3 linked regions of the Arabidopsis thaliana genome follow. The protein of the gene in region 1 interacts with the protein of each later gene in a pairwise test. Each region holds a gene or a part of one and is shown on either strand. Other genes may lie near its edges.

Region 1 (9,089 bases):
AAAGAGAGTATGATCCGTAGGAATCTGCAAGCTTGAGAAACTAGAGAGCAGATACCGACGACGCAACCAACCGAAGTTTCCTCTGTTCTACTCATGGCAGCTTCCAAGAGAAAGCTTAAACCTTTATCTATCACCCGTCCTCTGTTATTGATCGCTGAGGCGGTTGCGCCGCCATTCTTTAATGAAGTTACTAGTTGCCGACTACAATATAAGTCGTATGGCTGGGCAAAATATTAGTTTGATTCGATCGGATCCGTTATTTGGTTCGATTCAATTCGAAAAATCGGGATATCTATAGTTTTACAAAGCAAATTAAAAAATAAAAAATTTGTTAAAAGTGAAACAAATAACTAATACTAAAATTTAAATAAGTGGATATCTGTTTCGATCTATTATACACAAAACATATATATATATATATATATAGATAATTACATACATATATATTAATAATTTAACACTTTTTATGTAAGTTTTATCAGTTTTTTTTTTGTTTTTTTTAACTTCAAACTTTAGGCTTTATTATAGTGATGAAGTGTAATCCTCATGGATGAATTATACAATAAAAAATGGAACCAAAGAGAAAAGAGAAAAAGAAGTATTATTTGGGAATGGAGTCTTCACTAAACAATCAGCAACTTTATTACACGTTCTAGGCACCCATGTGACTTCGGCTTCGAAAAATTTCTTCTGCCAGTATTGAATCTCCCTTATCAAGTTGTGTAACTCAAAACTTCGGGCTTTGCCATTGACACACTCTGCCACACTTCTATTGTCACCTTCGAATATATCACACTCAGTTTATGTTCATTAAATTAATTATTTAAATATTTTTTTAGTGAATCATTATTTATTTGGGATTAAATTTTTGATTTTTATAATTTTTATTAATTTTTATAATTATTTTTTAATATATACATAACAAATTGAATATTTGACAAATAGTTCAGATTTTAAAGAATATCCAAAAATTCGGTTACTTTCGAAACAAATATAAATCAGAACACTAATTATTCGGATAAAACAAATCGGATAACAAATAATATTACAATTTTGAATATTCCGTTGGTGTCGACCCCTAAAATTAAATTATGTGAAATTTTTAGCATCGGATAATGTTTAGCGAGTTAAAAAAATGAATTATTAGGTGTTTGTTACGGATCTGATTGTTTTCTATTTTATATAAGTAAGGAAAAAAATCTGTTTTTTCTTCTTTTTTACATTAATATAAATTGAAACAACTTGTTATTGCGCTCTCTTTGAAAATTCCAAGAACACTAAATGTGGTCAATAATGGCAGATTTAGTAACAAACATATTTCAACAATTAACTATACAAATTATTCCCAAAACAGAAGGCTTAATATCAACATCTTAAAATTTACTAAAAATTGAAAACACTAAAGAGGAAATTAAGTGACCAAGTCTTCTTCTTCTTTACTCTCTCCTTTCTGTTACCGTCGAAAAAATCGAGCTAATGTCCGGTGATAACCAGATCCGAATCGGACTCTTAAGCTGCACAAACAAAGTCCGCAAACTCTCTCGAGCTATAAATCTCTCTCCAAACGCTACTATATCCGCCATAGCCACCACAAGCTCCATCGAAGAAGCAAAATCATTTGCTAAATCCAACAATTTCCCTCCGAATACAAAACTCCACAGCTCCTACGAGTCACTTCTAGAAGATCCCGACGTCGACGCCGTCTATTTCCCTATCCCCACTCGCCTCCACGTCGAGTGGGCTACACTCGCCGCTATTAAGGGTAAACATATACTCCTTGATAAGCCTGTTGCTTTAAACGTAGCTGAGTTTGATCAGATCGTTGAAGCTTGTGAGGTTAATGGTGTTCAATTTATGGATGGAACTCAGTGGATGCATAGCCCTAGAACGGATAAGATTAAAGAATTTGTGAATGATTTAGAGAGTTTTGGTCAGATTAAATCTGTAAGTGTTTAAGTACTTAAATTAGTAACTTAATCATGTTTATTGAAATTTTGAGTATAGAACGATGGTCTTATGCTTATGCAGGTGTATAGTTGTTTCTCATTTGCTGCGAGTGATGATTTCTTAAAACATGATATTCGTGTAAAGCCTGGTCTTGATGGACTTGGAGCTCTCGGTGATGCTGGATGGTATACGATCCAAGCGATTCTTCTTGTTAACAACTTTAAACTTCCGAAGACCGTTACTGCTTTGTCCGGTTCTGTTTTAAACGATGCGGGGATTGTTCTTTCTTGTGGTGCGTTGTTTGATTGGGAAGATGGGGTCAATGCAACGATTTACTGTTCTTTCTTGGCGAATTTGACGATGGAGATAACTGCGATCGGTACGAAAGGTAGTCTTCGTGTTCATGATTTTGTTATACCGTATATGGAAACCGAGGCTGTGTTTACTACAAGTGGTGGAGGTTGTGTTAGTGAACATAAAGTAATGACTGAGCTTTCACAAGAGGCGTGTATGGTTATGGAATTTGCTCGGTTGGTTGGAGAAATCAAAAACAGAGGAGCTAAACCGGATGGGTTTTGGATGAGGTTTAGCCGGAATACGCAGTTGCTTGTTGATGCTGTGAAAGAGTCGATTGATAATAACCTTGAACCGGTGTTTCTCTCCGGCCGGTGAGAAAGAGCTCAGAAGTTAGATCAGATTTGTTTGTGTCGATGCTTTTAGTAGATGTAGTAATTAGGGGTTTATGTATGATATCTTCTCGGCGTCCGTTGGTGGAGAGGTCAATTAAAGATCTCCTTGGCGCATGGCTGCAAGCATTTCATCAATACATTTCATCCATCACCAAGAAATTCTAGGGATATATACTGCATAGAGCTTCAAAGACTTGGTGCAGTGTCACTCACGAGTTTTGCTGTGTTTAATGTGGCACCGGGGTTTGCTTGTAAATCTATACCTCCAGCTTTAATAGCAGAGGTAGTGACTATGGCTGGTAAACTTTGGCATTATGTGACTTCTTTCTCCGATGTGACATCTTCAGGTGTCCAAACAAAAATCTCTGCTCATAAGACAATATAAGTTCATCGACAATACTAGCTACTGTTTTGTTGAATTCACAATCTCTGCACCTTTCTTATATAGCAGCCACCTTGGATTAATTTTGTTTTTGTTTTCCTTTTTCCTATGGTTTATGATTCAGAAGTTTAGATTATACGTTTATTTACAAGAATCCAGAGAATGAGTACATAATTGACCAAAAATAAAAGTTCAAATTATTTTGATGTAGAATTATAAATTAGTATTTGTAACTATGTTTTTTTTTAGTTTTTTGAATTTTTAAAGAAGAAAAAACACACATGTCAATATTTGTTCGACAAATATTGGTATGTGTTGTGTTCACGTGAGTTAACAATTTTGAAAACTTATCTACATATACATTTTTGCAGCCATTTATGTATACTTATTTACATTGGTTGCCATTGGCTTTTAATTATTGGGTTTTTTTTTTTGGTAATAAATTGATTAACAAACGAAAAACATTCGAAATATATTTCAATCCTATATATCACGCAGATTTCTCCAAAATTTAAACTAGATTTTGGCAACTATTTAAAACAAAAAATGTTTGACAAACTAAAATACAATTGCAATCCCTTAAAATGAGCAAAACGCACCTAAATACATTTTTTACAATTCACTAAATCTTATTTCTCCAAAATTTGAACTAGATTTCGGCAACTATTTAAAACAAAAATTTGTTTGACAAACTAAAATACAATTGCAATCCCGTAAAATATTTATTTAAATTAGCGGTGTACTACAGGTTTTTTTACGGAACGGGTTTGGCAAGACGGGTTTGGAAGAACTTTACTTAATAACAATTGTAAACTATAAAATAAAAATGTTTTATAGATAGATATAATTTGCAAACTTTTATATATATTAATTTTAAAAAATAATTTGTCTCCGCAGTATACTGCGGGTTAAAATCTAGTTATAATATATATCCGTAAAGAACAATAACACAGTATGAATTTTTTTTGTAAGTTATTCGATTAAAAATTAAAAGAAGCAAATTAAATTAAATAATGAGCTACCAAAACAAATAAACAAAAATTACTTTTTTGTCTATAAACATGGAGTTTTGCCAAGAAATTGTAAATAAAGTTTCTATTCCTTTTTTGTAAACAAAAGTTGTGTATCTAATTTTCTCTTTTCCATAAGTTGTGAATTGTGATAATAATTTACAAGTTGACAAAGAAAGAAAAGATTTAAAACAAAAAAAATGTGATTGTACTTAAGATTTCAAAGGTAGCGTTTTGTTGTTTCTCTCTTCCTCTCTCTCTCCACTGGTACCAATCACGCTCCATTAAGAATTTAAGAGAGAGAGAGACTAAACTTGAGCCCATCACTTTTGTAGTGACTAGTGAGTAGAGTAGGCTTTTAGAGAGAGAGAGAGAGAGACGGCTGTTGAAAGATAACCACAGAACACAAAAACTCATTCATTAAGAATGAGAAAGAAAGTCCCAAAAACCTTTTTTGCTCTGAAAAAGCAACGCAAAGTTTTGAAAAATCTCACACCTTTTTCACTTCTCTGTTTGTAGCTGTTACCACTTGTGTTTCCCCTTTGGCATTTTTCTCGGTTGTCATTAATGAGAGTAAAATCATCATCAAGTGTAAACTTCTCTCTCTCTTTCTCTATCTCTATCTCAAAGCTCTCAACTTTGGAGAGATCATGGTTTGTGTTTGATTTCTCAAGTTTTTTTTTTTTTACCCTCTTGGAGGATCTGGGAGGAGAAATTTGCTTTTTTTTGGTAAATGGGGAGAAAAAAGTTTGAAGCTTTTGGTTTTGTCTGCTTAATCTCACTGCTTCTTCTGTTTAATTCGTTATGGCTTGCCTCTTCTAACATGGAAGGTTTGTTACTCTTCTCTTATCTTTCTTTATTATTTATGTGACTACTTTTGCCTGTTTTAGTTGGTACATGAGAATTGAAATTTCCATCTGGCACTGTCTCTGTTCTTCAAAAAGGACTTTTTAAGAATCTGATTCTGTTTGAAAGCTTCAATTTCTATAGAGAATTTTGTTCATAATCTATGGTTAGGCTCCTTTAGAAAAATCACAATTGATTTACTGTTTGATTCAATGCTATTTCTCTGATAACGACATGTAAAAGAAACTGTATTTATGTCACTAGCAAACACATTAAGAATGAGGAACTGAAGAAGTATTCAATGCAAACTGTTTGGTTGTTTCATGTTTGATTTGTTTGGTAAGTATTTCCTCTTTGCGAAAGGCTTAGGCTTTTGTTTGGTATATTAACAGGTGATGCACTGCACAGTTTGAGAGCTAATCTAGTTGATCCAAATAATGTCTTGCAAAGCTGGGATCCTACGCTTGTTAATCCGTGTACTTGGTTTCACGTAACGTGTAACAACGAGAACAGTGTTATAAGAGTGTGAGTGTCTCTCTGCTTATACCTGACCTGACCAATGTTCTTTGTTTAGCTTATTTAATCTCTGTTTGTTGTTGCTTCTTCAGCGATCTTGGGAATGCAGACTTGTCTGGTCAGTTGGTTCCTCAGCTAGGTCAGCTCAAGAACTTGCAGTACTTGTAAGTTTTTGCTTTGATATCTAAATGGAAGATGAATCGTTACTCTGTAGATAAACGAAAAGTTGATGGCATTGACTATGTGTAGCATAACTACTTTATTTCTAGAGACTTGTAGTTTCTCATACATGATATAGGCGAATATGGCGATTACACTGAATCTTGTTTTTTCATTTTATTAGGACTTATTCAATACCCATTTGTCATTGTACATTGTTAATTTTCTTCTGAGGGTGTGATACTCTTAATGGCAGGGAGCTTTATAGTAATAACATAACCGGGCCGGTTCCAAGCGATCTTGGGAATCTGACAAACTTAGTGAGCTTGGATCTTTACTTGAACAGCTTCACTGGTCCAATTCCAGATTCTCTAGGAAAGCTATTCAAGCTTCGCTTTCTGTAAGAACACTTAGTCTGCTCTTCTCATCATGCACTGGCTAAATGTTTTGCTATATTAGAAATTTACTGAGGATTAAATTCTCTTTTGGCTAAATGTTATTACTTGTTGGACATTTGAATAGAAGTAAAAGAAATTGGCTTTGTCTTTCAAAACACTGAATAAACTTGTTTGATTGAACTCTGGTATGGGAAGATGGTAATGTGGTCTGAGTTTTTGTTGCAAGGATAGTCGGCTCAACAATAACAGTCTCACCGGACCAATTCCCATGTCATTGACTAATATCATGACCCTTCAAGTTTTGTGAGTATTACTTTTCAATTTTACTTTCTGCTCTTCTGAACTTCTCACTCTTAATGGATCACCTGAGTTTTCCTTATTATCTTGCAAACTGCAGGGATCTGTCGAACAACCGATTATCCGGATCTGTTCCTGATAATGGTTCCTTCTCGCTCTTCACTCCCATCAGGTTTGATTGAATCCATACTATGCAAACATTAGTTACTCGCATTATGGGAACTGAGGCTATAAGTTAAGATTAAGCACAAGTGGCAATAAAATTTAAAGTCTGAACCTAAGTTTCTTTTGATCATCTTAACTCTTAAGTAAATTTACTCAATAGACATACTACATTTTCCAAATTCTATTACTTTAATTGGTGGATATGGAAATTATCAGCAGTTGACCATTGTTCTTCTGCACAGTTTTGCTAACAACTTGGATCTATGCGGCCCAGTTACTAGCCGTCCTTGTCCTGGATCTCCCCCGTTTTCTCCTCCACCACCTTTTATACCACCTCCCATAGTTCCTACACCAGGTAATGAAATGAAGCAGACAGTAAAATTTAGATCTTTTACCTTCACTCATGCTTGGAAAAACATATTGGATGGTTGTTATAGAGTTTTTTACTGGATTTTGACTGGAAAAAAGTCTATCTCACAGTTTAAGAAGCTTGTGATCAACTTCACTGGTAGTTAACTATTTTGGTAAAAATAAAATTTAAGGTGGGTATAGTGCTACTGGAGCCATTGCGGGAGGAGTTGCTGCTGGTGCTGCTTTACTATTTGCTGCCCCTGCTTTAGCTTTTGCTTGGTGGCGTAGAAGAAAACCTCAAGAATTCTTCTTTGATGTTCCTGGTAAGTCACTGAGTCTGCAATATCCAAGCTTTGTTTCATTTCAGAATTGGATTAGTATTTAGTACTTAATTTTTCAGTTCTGTGATGCAGCCGAAGAGGACCCTGAGGTTCACTTGGGGCAGCTTAAGCGGTTCTCTCTACGGGAACTTCAAGTAGCAACTGATAGCTTCAGCAACAAGAACATTTTGGGCCGAGGTGGGTTCGGAAAAGTCTACAAAGGCCGTCTTGCTGATGGAACACTTGTTGCAGTCAAACGGCTTAAAGAAGAGCGAACCCCAGGTGGCGAGCTCCAGTTTCAGACAGAAGTGGAGATGATAAGCATGGCCGTTCACAGAAATCTCCTCAGGCTACGCGGTTTCTGTATGACCCCTACCGAGAGATTGCTTGTTTATCCTTACATGGCTAATGGAAGTGTCGCTTCCTGTTTGAGAGGTAACCTTGGAATTTTAACTGTTTGTATCATAAAGTAGAAAGACTCCCACAATGATGTATAAGTGTTGTTTTTGATCTTATCCATTTTTAAAACTTTCCAATACAATTGAGTGAGCTTTCTTGAAATGATTACAGAACGTCCACCATCACAGTTGCCTCTAGCCTGGTCAATAAGACAGCAAATCGCGCTAGGATCAGCGAGGGGTTTGTCTTATCTTCATGATCATTGCGACCCCAAAATTATTCACCGTGATGTGAAAGCTGCTAATATTCTGTTGGACGAGGAATTTGAGGCGGTGGTAGGTGATTTCGGGTTAGCTAGACTTATGGACTATAAAGATACTCATGTCACAACGGCTGTGCGTGGGACTATTGGACACATTGCTCCTGAGTATCTCTCAACTGGAAAATCTTCAGAGAAAACTGATGTTTTTGGCTACGGGATCATGCTTTTGGAACTGATTACAGGTCAGAGAGCTTTTGATCTTGCAAGACTGGCGAATGACGATGACGTTATGCTCCTAGATTGGGTATAACACAGATCTTTTAGCACATATCTGGCTATCTCTCAAAAAGCTGATTTATCTGTTCATTTGGTCTTCTCAGGTGAAAGGGCTTTTGAAGGAGAAGAAGCTGGAGATGCTTGTGGATCCTGACCTGCAAAGCAATTACACAGAAGCAGAAGTAGAACAGCTCATACAAGTGGCTCTTCTCTGCACACAGAGCTCACCTATGGAACGACCTAAGATGTCTGAGGTTGTTCGAATGCTTGAAGGTGACGGTTTAGCGGAGAAATGGGACGAGTGGCAGAAAGTGGAAGTTCTCAGGCAAGAAGTGGAGCTCTCTTCTCACCCCACCTCTGACTGGATCCTTGATTCGACTGATAATCTTCATGCTATGGAGTTGTCTGGTCCAAGATAAACGACATTGTAATTTGCCTAACAGAAAAGAGAAAGAACAGAGAAATATTAAGAGAATCACTTCTCTGTATTCTTTATTTCTTTGGTAGAAAAATAATGTAGTCTCTAATCAAATCTTATTCCATCTATCAGCATTCTTCATTCATTTCTTGTGAAAACCAAGGCCTTTAAATTAAACATAATCACAAACACCAAGTTCTATACATTACATATGTCTTCCACTGGATAAAGAGGAAGAAAAGGCTATTCCAAAAAACATTTTGAGCTCTTTGTTCCGCAAGAGAAGGAACAGCACAAGTGAAACACACTGAAAAACACCAAGCTTGCATTATAACATATGCAGGTAAGAATCACGAATCATGGGCGGGTCTTGTATTGTCTGAGAACGAATGAGAGCCAGATGAGGGATCATGCTTCTGCGATGTGAAGAGATTAGGGTATGAGTAATAGGGATCATCTTCCATTGAAGGCAGTCTCATTTGCTGATGGTCCTGGTCAGGGCTGAGTCTGTCAAGTGGTGAAGTCTCTGGCCTTTGGAGCTCTGGCAGATCGCCATAGCTGCTGACTGATGAGTTCTGATGATCAAACTGCGGTTTCTCCATTGACGGGAATCTATGTGGTGTAAGATCGTCATAGTTGCTGCCTGATGAGTTC
Region 2 (6,884 bases), on another chromosome or scaffold:
GAAATAGAATTCCGTTGCAGGAGCTACAAGCTGCAGGAGTAACCTTCATTTGGATTTGGAAGTTCTCCATCGTCCGCGGAATCAGCATCCTGGTATCATATTTCTCAACATTAGTAAACTCACTTAGCAACGATGATTTAACGCATACGCTTTAGCGGTAAGTGTAACTACCTTACGGCCTGGTGTAAATGGGATTGCAGGGCCGCCAGTAACCTCCACTGCAACAACTCCAGCGAGCTGAAATGAAATGAAAGAATCTGTCACGCTAACCATCAAGGGGGAAGAGAGTATTTATGAGTTTAATGGCTTCGAGATGCTGTATACCAATGTTGATTTACCTGATAAAGGTCTGCGTAAGAGACTCTGGGATGCTTAGCCTTTACTTCCTCTGAAATTAGAAACCAAAATTTAGACATCAAAGGAGACAGCAACCGCTTGCAGGTCCTGAAGAGTAGTAGTAACGGATTAGAAGGTTTAATCATAAAACTCACCGCAGAAGGCGACTGCCTTCTCCAAACCTTTGTTGTGTGGACGGTTTAGCTCTTCCTTGAATCTGATAGATCCATTGGCACCTCCGGTTTTCTTCTTGGCATCATAGGTTCCTGCATCATGCCATCTATATGCACAGAAGAGTTGGCATTTGGAAACATCAAGACAAGAAAGAAAAACGGAGAATGATTCTGAGAGCAAAGATCTTACGCAAGACGGAGCATAATGGGAGCACAGTTTCTGGAAGAGATGAGAGCTCGAAGGTCTCTACGAGTTTTCTCTATCTCTTTGAGGTACTCTGCATCAACGTTCACTGCCATTGTCAGAATTTCAAAGAGCAAGCAAAATAACTCAGACCGATGAATAAGATTGAAGAATGACTCAGAAGGATGAATATATAAATAGGATTGAAGAAGAGTTTAGGGGAGAAGAATGTTTTGTCATATGGAGAAAGCAAAGTATTAAATATAGTTATGGGAGAACCCTTTTGCTAATCTTCGCATATATTCAATTTTTCATCTATGCAACTATAGTTTATTCAAAAGTTTTAGTTACCATCCCGTCGCAAGCAGAGCTGGGGCATAACTATCTCGGAAGAAGATTCTACCTAACACTAAACTACATTGGTTGTTTGAGATCAATTTGATTGAAATGATTTCGTTATTGTAATAACAAATAAAAACAAGATAACTTTTAGACATTTTTAGTTTTGAACAAGATATGACAAACATTCTAATCCATAAAGACAAGCGTTTTGGTTCCTACTTCGTATCAAGAGGGCTACTTACTAAGTTACTATTTGACCTTGAGAGACGATCGTTGTGAAGGTGTTACACTAAAATATTAATTATCCACTAATGACGAACAGTGTCCTTAATTTTTTGTTGGTTTGGGGTTTTGGTTGGGTCTCTATTGGCCCATTGGGCTTATTATGAATGCTTCTAGTTTTTGTTGTTGTGTAATTTTCATCTCGGTGTCAACCTGTCAAGTCAATTGTCACCTCATGCACAAACGGTAACTTATTTGAGACGCAAAATTTACAACGGTAAGAAAATATAGACGTTAGAAAAGTAGCCGTTGAAAGAAGAAATCCGAAGCTGCCTATATAAGTGGCTCGTGCTCACTCACTTACTTCCCACAATCATTTCTTCTTCTGTATAATCGCTTACTATTCTCGTAGTTTCAGAAAGCAAAAGTCTTTTTTCTAGTTGAAAAACCAAAGAGAGAGAGAGTCAGAGAGCTCAAAGTTCATCCAAAGTTAATCGAGAGCAAGTTTCATTCCTCTCAACAAAGTTCGTCCAAGGTTTCTCGTAGTCACTAGCCGAACTCTGCTTTTAAGATTGGTAAGAATTCTTAGATGTTTCCTTACTTTTCTACGACTTATGTTGTTGATCGAAACACTTTCATGGTCTATTCTTCTCACTAAAGTTTCGTCAGTTTCAGTTTTACGCATCATACTATTTTCACTTTGTCTAAACTCACATCTTCCTCTGTTTTCTTTTTCGAGTGTTCTTGCAGGTTTCTCTCCAAGCAAATAGCTAGAAATGGAAGGCTCATCAAGCTTCACTACAACCAACGCAAAGAAAGAAAAACAGAGAGCGTTCACCCAATTTCCCCGTGATTTCATTATATACTATCATCGTAATCAAGAACTCTGCTTTGAGACTCTGCTTTAGGGTTTGGTAAGAATCTGATGTTTCTCCTTTTTGTTTGACGAATTGAGCCGTGTATTTTCTGAAACATCTTGATTTTGGGAATTGTAGTCATAATGTTAAAGAGAGTTATTATAGTGTAATTTATCTTTGAGAAATTTCTGCCATCTAAACTGTTTCTGACAATTACAGGTGAGAGAGAGAAGAGATAAATGATCCGTCACAGTCACGACAAACGATCCACGGCAACCTTTGGCGGTGATAGCGGGCTTGTTGCGCCGGGGTATCATCTTGGACTTCCAGTTGACTACTCGCCGTGATGTTCAGGGTTAGTTTCATCAATGCTCTTCTTATATGTCTCTCTCAGTCGTTACTCTGTTAAAAGCCATATAATAAATCGTAGACTTGGTGAGTTATTTGGTCGGATTTTATAGATTAACTCTCTCATTCATCCATATGTAGCTCGTGTATTTATGATTTTTATGATTTTTTGTCATTGCATATTTTCAAACTTGTTAGTAATTTTGGAATGTTGATTTGATAAAACTGATTCCAACTCCACGAATCCTGGTTTATCAAAACTGTGATTGTATCATCGTACACACATCAAATAAAAACTTTTACTTTGAACATTTTCAAATGCTAACTTTTTCCGACAAATTAATTACATGGTTTGTGAAAGATTCCCAACTCTTAACGTTTTTGTTCTCGCTGTCGCAGGTTTTCTTATCAAGGAAGGTTACGTTGACCCGAATAAGTTCATTAGCATAGACATCTTTCCTCACGAAAGGCAAATATGACCAATGTTGACATTTTACATACTCGGTAAAATATTTGTTAGTTGAGATTATTGCAATTTTTGGCAGAAAATATTACCACACTTTGTTGACATACAAATAAGTTCAGGTTTGGTCCATACACCACATTCTCACTAGCCAACATGCAAATTCAACTAACCACATTCAATATCATCAAACATCCTTGAAATTTTAACATAAATTTGGCGAGTATGCGGAAGAACTAGTGCATTACAACTTTATTGTACCGCAATTGGCTGATTGGTTTCATAAATATTGAATCATAACTTAGAGATTTTTTCACATTTGGTGAGCATCCGGAAAAACTAGTAAAAAAATGAATTAGAATAGTAAAACAAATCGTACTAGAAATTTTACAGACAGTTAAAAACACGTATAATTTTAGCCAGTGTTAATTTTTCTTATTTGCATTTTAAACAACAAAGACAAAATACATTATGTGCAACTCCTTTATTTTACTTTTTTGTATACAAGATAAATAAATTAATTTGAATATACACTAAAAAATCAAACAGAAAAAAGAAGAAGAAGTAAAATAGTAATTATTTAAAAGACAACAGAAGAAGTAAAAAAAGTAAAAAGATTGCAAAACAGTCGGAAGGTTGAATGGCTGAGATTAATCGAACGCTTCAATGGCAATTATTTCCGGCCATCACTTTCTTCTCTACTTCTTTCTTTCTCTCTCTAGTTGTTGTTCTCTCTCTCTCTCGCATCCTCCAATTCATCGTCCTCACGTTCCCTTTTGTTTATTCATCTTCCTTCCTTCTTCACATTTCTGATTTTCTCTATTTGGGGGGTTTGTTTCCACATTATACATATCTAGGGTTTTGAGATGGTTAATTGAAAGATAATGGTCGAAGTTTCGGAGGAATTGGCTTCACATTGTGGGTGTTTCTGGCTTCCTCAGGTTTAAATCTGAGGTTGATCTCTTTTGTTTTTTGGTAAATTGTGACATATTTTGGCTCGAAGAAGAAGAAGAAGAGGCAATGAGCGCATCAAGGTTCATAAAGTGCGTCACCGTTGGTGATGGAGCTGTTGGTAAAACCTGTTTGCTGATTTCTTATACCAGCAACACCTTTCCCACGGTATTCATCAATCATTCTCCCTCCTTTTTTTGATATCTGATTCATTTGATTCTGATTGTGCCATATATGAATTGGGATCCATACATACTAAAAATGTTGTATACATTTCCATTGGAACAGGATTATGTTCCGACTGTTTTCGATAACTTTAGTGCAAATGTGGTTGTTAATGGAGCCACGGTGAATCTTGGATTGTGGGATACTGCAGGTAATGAATGATGATCCAATTCATAATCCTTGGTGAGAGAGCTTTCCTTGATGAATCGGTCGAAATTATGTTTTTGGTTTATGCAGGGCAAGAGGACTATAACAGATTAAGACCTTTGAGTTACCGTGGTGCTGATGTTTTCATTCTTGCCTTCTCTCTCATTAGTAAGGCTAGTTATGAGAATGTTTCCAAGAAGGTCAGTTTCGTCCGAACTGGTCGACTATTTAACAATTGAGAGTTCCAAATTTTGATGCTTCTTTTCTTTTACAGTGGATTCCTGAGTTGAAGCACTATGCTCCTGGTGTCCCAATTGTCCTTGTTGGAACCAAACTAGGTTACTTCCTCCTCTCACATTTGTCCTTGTTTATGCATTTATTTATATATATGTCTGATTCCCATGCTTACACTGCCATTTTCCTTTTCACTTTATTAAGCTGCTCTGGTATAATATATCATGACATTAGTGGACATAAAACTTCACCTTCTCTTGATTGTGGTTAAAACTTGTACATGTTCAAGATGTATTCGTTAGGTGAAACTGAGGGTAGTTTTCAGAGAATATCATTGGTCAACAGGCTTCTTCTTGTATCTTGCACTTCTTGTGATAAAGCAACCATATCCTATAACACACGCCTTTAAGCATCCTCCAATGAAATAGCTACTGTATAGCAAGTGTATACCTTTATAAAAGACACTTGCAAGATCTTCAGTCAACTCATGATCCTGGCCTTTTTGATTGTCTAACCTTGGTTGTTGTCAGATCTTCGAGATGACAAACAGTTTTTCATCGACCATCCTGGTGCTGTCCCTATTACCACTGTTCAGGTAAGAATACAGTTATTTCCTCAGTGCAATTTTATCAGCTTTACCACCGTTAAGCATTTTCCCTCTCTGCATGGAAGGGAGAGGAGCTGAAGAAGCTAATTGGAGCGCCAGCTTACATCGAGTGCAGTTCAAAATCACAAGAGGTAAACGAATAAAAGACATCTCATGAATCATCTTTTCGGTGTTGGATTCTTCATCTTTTGATGAAAACAATGTGACTATAACTGCAGAACGTGAAGGGCGTGTTTGATGCAGCGATCAGAGTGGTCCTTCAACCTCCAAAGCAGAAGAAAAAGAAGAACAAAGCACAAAAGGCCTGCTCCATCTTGTAATAGCACTCATGGAAGTCAAGAAGCTCTTTGAGATGAGGATGACAGGGTGGTTTAAAAAAGTATCGCTTTTTCATTTTTGTTGTTGTTTTCCGTTTTCATTTGTGATCTCTTAGTTCCGTACAAAACGAATTGTGAGGTTAATTCAACTTCTATTTTAACTGATAGCCGAGAAAGCTTGTCTAGTTATTTACAAATGTTTTATCAATTGTGATAATGTTACTAATCCACTTCACATGAAAATTCCATTTCGATTTCTCATTCTATTATTATAAGAACAAGAGAGATTGAGACGAAATACTGATATTACTATATTGGTTACCAACCGCAAAGAATAACAAACAGTGTGTTCTTCTTATACAACCTTGGAATTTTAAGGCTAAACCAAAAAACTGTCTGGTCCAGAACATGGATGTCTCGACCAGATTCCTTGTTAAAAACTTCCTGCTCTTTGATGTTATCAGAACGGGACTGTGTAAGGTAAGGCGTAGACATCAGCTTCTGGTAAAAGGCGAGCACATGGCCACCCCATTGTATTGCCTACTTGCTTGATCTCATTCTCTCTATTAAGTTGTTTGCATATTTCTGTGGTGCTACTTGGCGGCTTCTTCATGGACCACCAACATTCTTCATCTTCAGAGTTAATGAGGTCTACTCTTCTCTCGATCGTGTTAGGGACCCAATTCTCAACTACGTCCAAGAATTGCAACACCATGGATGGAGGGCAATTGCATAGGCTTTTAGGAGGTTGATAAGTTTCTCGAGTAGAGGATGAGGATATCTTCTCTTTACCGTGTTTCCCTCTAAAAATGGGATCTTTCCTTTTCTCTTCTCGTGGCTTCGAAGCATGTTCTGCTGCAGAAGTGGAACAAGGATGTTGATTAACCGGCTCTCTAGTAGGAAGTTGGGACGAGTCTAACTTTATTCCCCGAGAAGGACCTGGTTTTTCTTGATCCTTATTGGTCATCATCACCTCGGGATCTTTCTGCCTTCGAATAGGCAATCGAATCCGAATGATGCTTTCTTCAAATTCATATCAACAATTTGAAGAAAGAATGTCATCAATGTCCTGATAAGGTAATTAGACCCAACAAGAATACAAGATCCTTCCCCGGGGAAGGAAGAAACACAAACAAACTCACCAGAGTCGTTGTTGTTATGTCTAACATCGAGAGGCTGCTGTTTCTCTTTCTGCTTCTCCTTGTTGTTATGTCTACCATTGAGAGGCTGCTGCTTCTCAATCCGCTTCTCGTTGTTGTTGTTATGTCTACCATTGAGAGGCTGCTGCTTCTCCATCAGCTTTTCGTTGTTGTTGTTATGTCTACCATTGAGAGGCTGCTGCTTCTCAATCCGCTTCTCGTTGTTGTTGTTATGTCTACCATCGAGAGGCTGCTGCTTCTCCACACGCTTCTCGTTGTTGTTGTTATGTCTACCATCGAGAGGCTGCTGCTTCTCCACACGCTTCTCGTTGTTGTTGT
Region 3 (7,925 bases), on another chromosome or scaffold:
ACATCAGTGAGGTCTGGTTCAATCCTCACCTCATCTTCAAGGTAAACCAATCTTAATAAATTCCTTCATTCGCCAAGAGAAATTGATTGCAATTTGACCGATTTCGATCTGAAATTCGAATTTGAGTTTCCTGGGAAATTTGTACCAATATCTGGAGAATTAGGGATTTTGTTCTTCGATATCTAATTAGATCATTCTTGATTGATTAATTCTATTCTCTGTTAAAGTTTTTTTTTTTAATCTTGATGTGTATTTGTTGAACAGCATAAGGACTTGAAGCGTTTATTTCTATCAGCGTTCTACCATGTTAACGAGCCTCACTTAGTCTATAACATGATGTCACTTCTCTGGAAAGGTATCAAGCTTGAGACATCAATGGGAAGCAGTGAGTTTGCTTCAATGGTCTTTACTCTTATTGGTATGTCTCAAGGAGTCACATTGTTGTTAGCCAAATCGCTTCTTCTCTTGTTTGACTATGACAGAGCTTACTACAACGAGTATGCGGTTGGGTTCTCGGGTGTTCTCTTTGCTATGAAAGTTGTTCTTAATTCTCAAGCTGAGGATTACTCAAGTGTGTATGGTATCTTGGTTCCAACAAAGTATGCTGCTTGGGCAGAATTGATTCTAGTGCAGATGTTTGTACCTAACGCTTCGTTTCTTGGGCATTTGGGTGGAATCCTTGCTGGTATTATCTATTTGAAGCTGAAAGGTTCTTACTCAGGCTCAGATCCAGTCACTATGGCGGTTAGAGGTGTATCTCGATTGGTGACGTGGCCCTTGAGGTTTCTGAATGGTATGGTTAGGTCTCGGAGAAGGAGGATTACGGGGAGAGGAAGAGTGGGAAGAGGTCAGACTGGGATAGCAGGACCTGGTATTTGGAGATGTCAGTCGTGTACATATGACAATTCTGGTTGGTTAAGTGCTTGCGAGATGTGTGGCTCGGGACGGGCTAGAGGAAATGGATGGTCACTGAATCAGGGACCAGCACTTTCTTCTTCTAATGATCTCCCTTTAGATGAGCTGCGCCGTCGAAGAGTAGAGAGGTTTAGTTGATCTCGGGAGCGCATTCTTAAAGCTGAGGAAGGATTGTGAATGAAGCTTTGTTGAATCATTCATTGCATTAGCTTATGAATAGCAGAGTTAGTGGTCGTGTTTTTCGATCTGTTTCTTCAATTTGTCTTCTCTTTTGTTGTTGAAGATTTGGTTCTACGTGAACTGGTCCTTTGATTAGATTGCTGAAAGTAGCGAGTGATTCAGATAATATAGTATCTTCACACCAAACTTACAGTTTCACAGACTTTCGATTTTAACAAAATTTTATCCTATTTCAAACCAAATTTTGTTGAAAGAAGAAGATCACAAAGCAAGATATAAATGTTAATCAGTAATCAATTTCCCTTTTTTCTTCCTTTTGCCTCCTTGCTTGATTTGCGCTGAGCTTGGAACATACGAGCACACAAGTGGATCTCGAATTTTATCAGTAGTTTTTCCGAGATCCACTTCTTTGTAATATCCATCCTCTCCAATGATGTAAGCTGTGTTGTGAGTGGGATACATTACATCTTTGTCTTTAGCAAAGACTACAACAACTTTCTTCTCTTCGTCAATGATGAAACTCGCATCTGCAATTCCAAACTTAAAATCAGTGAGTGGTTGCATATCCACTGCTAAGAACAACTTGCTCCACATCACCTCTTCAGGTTCAATCTTAGTCGTAACCCAAATCTCCATATGTAAGTTGTCCTTACGCTGAAATAACACAGCAAGTTGCTCTTCTCTAACACTAGAAAGACTCACAGTATCTACATCCATAGGGTAACACGGCAAATGAAGACGCGGCCCAAATCTCTCCGATGTAAAATTAAAACAGAGCAAGAAATAAACACTATGTATAAGATTACTGCTGATTTCTGGAAACTTGTCTGTAGCAAACCAATAAGTATTTCCCTTGAGAGAGACACCTCGTGCATAAAACTCTACTTCCCAGTCGGAAGTGACATCGAGAACCCTCCATGAATTAGACTTTAACTCGTATATTTCGTACTCAACAAATTCTTCTTCGGCAAAATCAACGAATCGCAAAACTTTGTAGCGTAGGCTTGATTTACGCTTCTCGTATCCTATAGCACAGATATACCAGTCCATTCTATGGTCAGGACTACTGGGTTTGAGCCACAAAGTTTGGCTCCTATACGGATTCCAAACCACGACCCTAGTGTAGTCTTTCGAGATACATAACAGTAAACCGTCGCAGTGATATACTTCAGATATATCGATCTGATCTGTACCGTTTAGGCTAACAAGTTTAGCTTGACGGTTTATAGACGGGTCAAAGCCGTTGTGAATTCCACGGAGGTTGATGCTCGTTAGATAAACCTTACAATGCAAGACCATGACAACCTTAAACTCACTTTCCCTTGATGTTGCTTCCTGAGCAAGGTGCTTCTTTGTAAAGCTCCGCTTTTTGGATAATGTTTTCCAATTTTTGCAGGTAAATCGCGCTTCTCTCAATGATTTCACCGGAACCCTAGAGAGTCTCTCCTCCAACAAATCTCTTGGAAGATCGGACATCATCTTCAAATCTTTCAAATTTGAACAAGGATCGATGTAACACAAATTAGTTAGGTTTGAAACTTCAGTAAAAAGCTCTCATGTTTCCCCACAGGAACCCTAACTCAAGCTGGGCCGAAACACAACTCTGCCCTCTAAAAATTTCCCGGAATTATTCATCTTTTTGAACTCTTATTTATATGACTGTGATGTCGTTTCATTTATGGGCTTTATTATTGGGCTTTTAGCCCAACTGTAGTTAAAAACTTTTTAGTGATTCTCATTTGTATATGGCGGGGGAGATGATCGACGGTCGCTTCTTGCGGTGGAGATGGAGGAGGAAGACTCTCCTCTCCGACTGCGGCGATTGAACCGAGAGAGCCACCGAAGATTCGAAACCTACAAAATATAGAGGGTGATGTAATCCAGCGTCTGAGCTCGCTGAGAACAGCCTCGACGCCGATTCCAATTCAGTACGGTGGCTTAAAGCTCCTTCAATTCTCAGACCATGGCCAAGGCTCTGTATCTTTTGCTCACTGGTTCTACCATTGTGAGTTCTTCACTACCACCTGCTTTGAATTCAACTACAATCTATCTACAAAATTCTCTAGCCGAAACCTTTCAAGTTTTAGCATGAGACCCTTAGCTTCAATTGTTTTTCTCTTGGACACTGTCTAACTTTGATTCTTCTTGGAATTGATTAGGAAATGGCTAAGAAAGTTGGAGAAGTTATAGAAAAATCCTGCGTAGAGAATGGGATCACAAAGGTGGCCTTTGACCGTGCAATTTACACTTACCATGGCTTTAGCTGCTTCAGCAAATAGAACACGGTCTCCAATTTTAAGTCTTTTTTTGTTTTGTCCTTCTCAGAAATTTGCTTGTATAGAACCCATGATTGAAATTTAGATTAGTCGGCTTGGAACAGTGTTAACTTCTTCCTTTTTAATGTGTTCATTTGTTCTTACTACTTATGCATCTCAAGAATGTTTATATCGTCTATACGATGATAATATATTTGAAAATGGTTGATGTTTACAAAGCTTCAGAAGGTAAGACATCAAATGTGCTGCTTAGTTAAGAGACAGGTACAAGTGCTTGCAAATTTAGGACAGAAGGACAAAGACAGAGACGAAAACTTCGGCGCAGTGAAGGCAGTTCATATCTGCGAAGTATAGATGCGATATGGTTGGAAGTTAAGTAACTGATAGTCTATAAATAGAAAAGTGCGAGGTATATGCCCACCCTGGAGTTGGTATGTCCGCTTCTATCTCATCTACCTATTATTAGCAAACTATAGACGTTATTAGTTTTCTGTTTTTTCCTTTTATATACTCACTTCTTTAATGTAGATTCTGTTTAATAAAAACAGTAACAGAACAGAATAAAATCTTGATTTCTTTTTTTTCCTCCCATTCAGGTCTCATACTTCGTTTGGCAATGCAATGAGGGAGCAGCCAAGGCAGTATTGAAGGGTGAAGCAGTATCTCGTTTCTTGACCAATCATCAACCTGTAAGTAGATCTCCACTAGGATGGCAAGCACCAACGTTACAGGGCAATGCCCGGGTCCAATGAAGGCTACCTCCAATGGAGCCTTCCAAAACGAAAGCCCTCTTGATTTCGCGCTTCCTCTTATCATCCTACAAATCGTCTTGGTGGTTGTGTTTACAAGGCTCTTAGCTTACTTTCTTAAGCCTCTCAAACAGCCCCGAGTCATTGCTGAGATCATTGTGAGTTTCCTACTCAATCTCTTTGTATTTTTCTTTTTCTGTTTTGATGAAATCACATAGCAAAAGAGACTAAAAGGGATGGTTCTGTAGGGAGGGATACTGCTTGGACCTTCTGCACTAGGGAGAAGCAAGGCCTATCTTGACACCATCTTCCCAAAGAAGAGCTTGACCGTTTTAGACACACTCGCCAACATTGGTCTTCTGTTTTTCTTGTTCCTAGTTGGGCTTGAGCTTGACTTTGCAGCAATAAAAAAAACTGGAAAGAAATCACTATTGATAGCCATAGCTGGGATCTCACTTCCTTTTATAGTGGGTGTAGGCACATCTTTTGTTCTCAGTGCCACCATAAGCAAAGGAGTCGATCAGCTTCCTTTTATTGTCTTCATGGGTGTTGCCTTATCAATCACTGCCTTCCCTGTGCTTGCTCGTATACTAGCTGAGCTAAAGCTTCTAACAACTGACATTGGACGTATGGCAATGTCTGCAGCGGGAGTAAACGATGTTGCAGCTTGGATACTCCTTGCGCTTGCTATTGCTCTCTCAGGAGATGGGACTTCTCCTCTTGTATCTGTTTGGGTTCTTCTCTGTGGAACTGGATTCGTGATCTTTGCAGTTGTGGCAATCAAACCTCTGCTTGCTTATATGGCTAGACGCTGTCCTGAGGGAGAGCCTGTAAAGGAACTCTATGTTTGTGTCACTCTAACCGTGGTTTTAGCAGCAAGCTTTGTGACAGACACTATTGGGATACACGCGCTGTTCGGGGCGTTTGTGGTAGGTATAGTAGCTCCTAAAGAAGGACCATTTTGCAGGATTTTGACTGAGAAGATAGAGGATCTTGTTTCGGGGCTTCTTCTACCTCTGTATTTTGCGGCTAGCGGTCTCAAAACTGATGTAACAACGATCAGGGGAGCACAGTCATGGGGACTTCTAGTTCTTGTCATTCTCACCACTTGTTTCGGGAAGATTGTAGGAACAGTTGGTTCCTCGATGCTCTGCAAGGTTCCTTTCAGAGAAGCCGTGACACTTGGATTCCTTATGAATACCAAAGGTTTAGTAGAGCTCATTGTTCTTAACATTGGCAAGGACCGGAAGGTATAGATTCTTGAAAGCCATAATAAGACTTATAAAACATTTAAAAGCCGAGTTATCTAAATAACGATTTTTGTGAGCAGGTGCTGAATGATCAAGCATTTGCGATCTTAGTCCTAATGGCATTGTTCACAACCTTCATCACAACTCCAATTGTGATGCTTATTTACAAGCCTGCAAGAAAAGGAGCACCGTACAAGCACAGAACCATCCAAAGAAAAGATCATGATTCTGAGCTAAGGATACTTGCTTGCTTCCACAGTACCCGTAACATCCCCACATTGATCAATCTGATCGAATCATCAAGAGGAACAGGCAAAAAGGGACGCCTCTGCGTTTACGCGATGCATCTGATGGAGCTTTCTGAACGGTCATCAGCGATCGCGATGGTTCACAAAGCTCGAAACAATGGTCTCCCAATCTGGAATAAGATCGAGAGATCAACGGACCAGATGGTGATTGCCTTCGAGGCTTACCAGCATCTACGAGCAGTAGCGGTTAGACCCATGACTGCAATCTCTGGCCTCAGCAGCATCCACGAGGACATATGCACAAGCGCGCATCAGAAACGAGTAGCGATGATACTGCTTCCGTTTCACAAGCATCAGAGAATGGACGGAGCGATGGAGTCAATAGGACATAGGTTCCATGAAGTGAACCAACGGGTCTTGCAACGAGCTCCTTGCTCAGTCGGGATTCTTGTGGACAGAGGACTCGGAGGAACCTCACAGGTTGTAGCCAGCGAAGTGGCTTACAAAGTCGTGATTCCATTCTTTGGAGGCCTCGACGACCGAGAAGCTCTCGCATACGGGATGAAAATGGTGGAACATCCAGGAATCACACTAACTGTTTACAAATTTGTAGCTGCGAGAGGAACATTGAAGAGATTCGAGAAGAGTGAACACGACGAAAAGGAGAAAAAAGAGAAAGAGACTGACGAAGAGTTTGTGAGGGAGTTGATGAATGATCCAAGAGGAAATGAGTCATTGGCTTACGAGGAAAGAGTCGTTGAGAGCAAAGACGATATCATCGCGACACTTAAATCGATGAGTAAATGCAATCTCTTCGTCGTTGGAAGAAATGCAGCTGTTGCATCGTTGGTTAAGAGTACAGACTGTCCAGAGTTAGGACCAGTTGGACGCTTGTTGTCGTCATCAGAGTTTTCCACCACCGCGTCGGTGCTCGTCGTTCAGGGATATGATCCAGCAGCAGATACACGACCGCTCGTTGAGGAAGATGCAGAGTACGATCAGTCTTCCAGAGATATTTCAGACTTAACTGCCTGAACGGATTTTATTATAAAAACAAAATTTCTCTGTTTTTTTTTTTGTCTCATGAAATATTTTGATATTCTTTTTGGTTGGGACTTGGAGTGTCTCCATTGTTCTTTTTCTATTTTCCTTAAATTGATGGTTGACATTAGATTTGTGGGCATGAAAATCGACCTGTAATTTCTTAATATTTTGCCTTGAATGATCAAAGGAATAATATTTTTAAGATCCAACATTTCTAGTCATCACCATGGAATGTATCCTTGCCCATGATGGTGTCACCTACATACCTTTTTAGGGTGTAATGTGTTCATTGTTATTCAGAAAAAATGTAACAAACGGAAAAATGTCTAATCTTAAATTACCTCCTGAAGAGATATGAATGCAAAAAGGGACCACAACCGCCAATGACACCGACAAGAGTCAAAAGAGACGTCACTAATAAATAAACTAACACATTTTCGAACAAGAATCCATAACGTTAACATTCACTCACTGTCTATCACACACACACATGCTGTGTACTTCATTATTACTCTCTCTCACGCTCTCTCTTCTCTTCTCTTCTCTTCTTTAAAAATCTCACACCAACTTCATTGACAAAGAGAAGAAAACAACTCTCAAAAACAAAAACATGAGCTACACTTTCTTTCTCCTTTTGCTCTCTCTTGTCCACTCCACTTTCTCTTCATTAGCTCCTACGGATCGAGCCGCGCTCCAATCCATCAGAGACTCTTTAACCGACATGCCCGGTTCAGCCTTCTTCTCCTCTTGGGACTTCACAGTTCCTGACCCTTGTTCCTCCTTCTCTGGCCTTACCTGCTCTTCTCGCGGCCGTGTCACCGGCTTAACTCTTGGCCCTAATCTCTCAGGCTCTCTCTCCCCTTCCATCTCCATTCTAACCCACTTAACCCAACTCATTCTCTACCCCGGTTCAGTCACCGGTCCTCTCCCTCCTCGGTTCGATTCCCTCCCTCTCCTTCGAGTCATTTCCTTAACAAGAAACCGTTTAACCGGTCCTATACCCGTATCTTTCTCATCTCTCTCAAATCTCCACACTCTTGACCTTAGCTATAACCAACTCTCTGGCTCTCTCCCTCCTTTTCTCACCACTCTTCCTCGACTCAAAGTCCTTGTTTTAGCCTCAAACCATTTCTCCAACAACCTTAAGCCTGTCTCTAGCCCATTGTTCCATTTAGACCTAAAGATGAACCAAATCTCCGGCCAACTCCCACCCGCTTTCCCGACTACTCTCCGGTACTTATCTCTATCCGGAAACTCAATGCA

Evidence for each region. The genes of interacting proteins can lie anywhere in the genome.
Region 2: the proteins of SERK2 (region 1) and RAC6 interact in a protein complementation assay, tested with the Arabidopsis thaliana proteins (one large-scale study listed by BioGRID).
Region 3: the proteins of SERK2 (region 1) and CHX19 interact in a protein complementation assay, tested with the Arabidopsis thaliana proteins (one large-scale study listed by BioGRID).

The regions. Positions count from the first base shown.
Region 1 is NC_003070.9:12,454,317-12,463,405, forward strand, and holds SERK2 (somatic embryogenesis receptor-like kinase 2), read left to right. Parts: upstream 1-4,247; 5' UTR 4,248-4,761; coding exon 4,762-4,858; intron 4,859-5,266; coding exon 5,267-5,399; intron 5,400-5,482; coding exon 5,483-5,554; intron 5,555-5,805; coding exon 5,806-5,949; intron 5,950-6,178; coding exon 6,179-6,250; intron 6,251-6,344; coding exon 6,345-6,416; intron 6,417-6,651; coding exon 6,652-6,764; intron 6,765-6,951; coding exon 6,952-7,083; intron 7,084-7,173; coding exon 7,174-7,515; intron 7,516-7,650; coding exon 7,651-8,045; intron 8,046-8,121; coding exon 8,122-8,436; 3' UTR 8,437-8,589; downstream 8,590-9,089. Other genes in the region: AT1G34200 (Glyceraldehyde-3-phosphate dehydrogenase-like family protein), read left to right, coding at 1,477-1,944, 2,029-2,619; AT1G34220 (Regulator of Vps4 activity in the MVB pathway protein), read right to left, coding at 8,786-9,089. UniProt on the Arabidopsis thaliana protein: Serine/threonine-kinase involved in brassinosteroid-dependent and -independent signaling pathways. Acts redundantly with SERK1 as a control point for sporophytic development controlling male gametophyte production. Serves as coreceptor to small peptide (e.g.
Region 2 is NC_003075.7:17,022,576-17,029,459, reverse strand, and holds RAC6 (RAC-like 6), read left to right. Parts: upstream 1-3,593; 5' UTR 3,594-3,945; coding exon 3,946-4,044; intron 4,045-4,164; coding exon 4,165-4,252; intron 4,253-4,338; coding exon 4,339-4,448; intron 4,449-4,522; coding exon 4,523-4,586; intron 4,587-5,012; coding exon 5,013-5,077; intron 5,078-5,154; coding exon 5,155-5,220; intron 5,221-5,307; coding exon 5,308-5,409; 3' UTR 5,410-5,623; downstream 5,624-6,884. Other genes in the region: APX5 (ascorbate peroxidase 5), read right to left, coding at 44-89, 172-237, 339-388, 492-616, 700-809; AT4G35940 (uncharacterized protein), read right to left, coding at 5,867-6,429, 6,549-6,884. UniProt on the Arabidopsis thaliana protein: May be involved in cell polarity control during the actin-dependent tip growth of pollen tubes.
Region 3 is NC_003074.8:6,025,121-6,033,045, forward strand, and holds CHX19 (cation/H+ exchanger 19), read left to right. Parts: upstream 1-3,567; 5' UTR 3,568-3,802; exon of another isoform or gene 3,803-3,967; 5' UTR 3,968-4,080; coding exon 4,081-4,278; intron 4,279-4,368; coding exon 4,369-5,370; intron 5,371-5,450; coding exon 5,451-6,653; 3' UTR 6,654-6,664; downstream 6,665-7,925. Other genes in the region: RBL14 (RHOMBOID-like protein 14), read left to right, coding at 1-41, 265-1,053; AT3G17620 (F-box and associated interaction domains-containing protein), read right to left, coding at 1,378-2,574; AT3G17626 (structural constituent of ribosome), read left to right, coding at 3,059-3,100, 3,255-3,374; AT3G17640 (Leucine-rich repeat (LRR) family protein), read left to right, coding at 7,273-7,925. UniProt on the Arabidopsis thaliana protein: May operate as a cation/H(+) antiporter.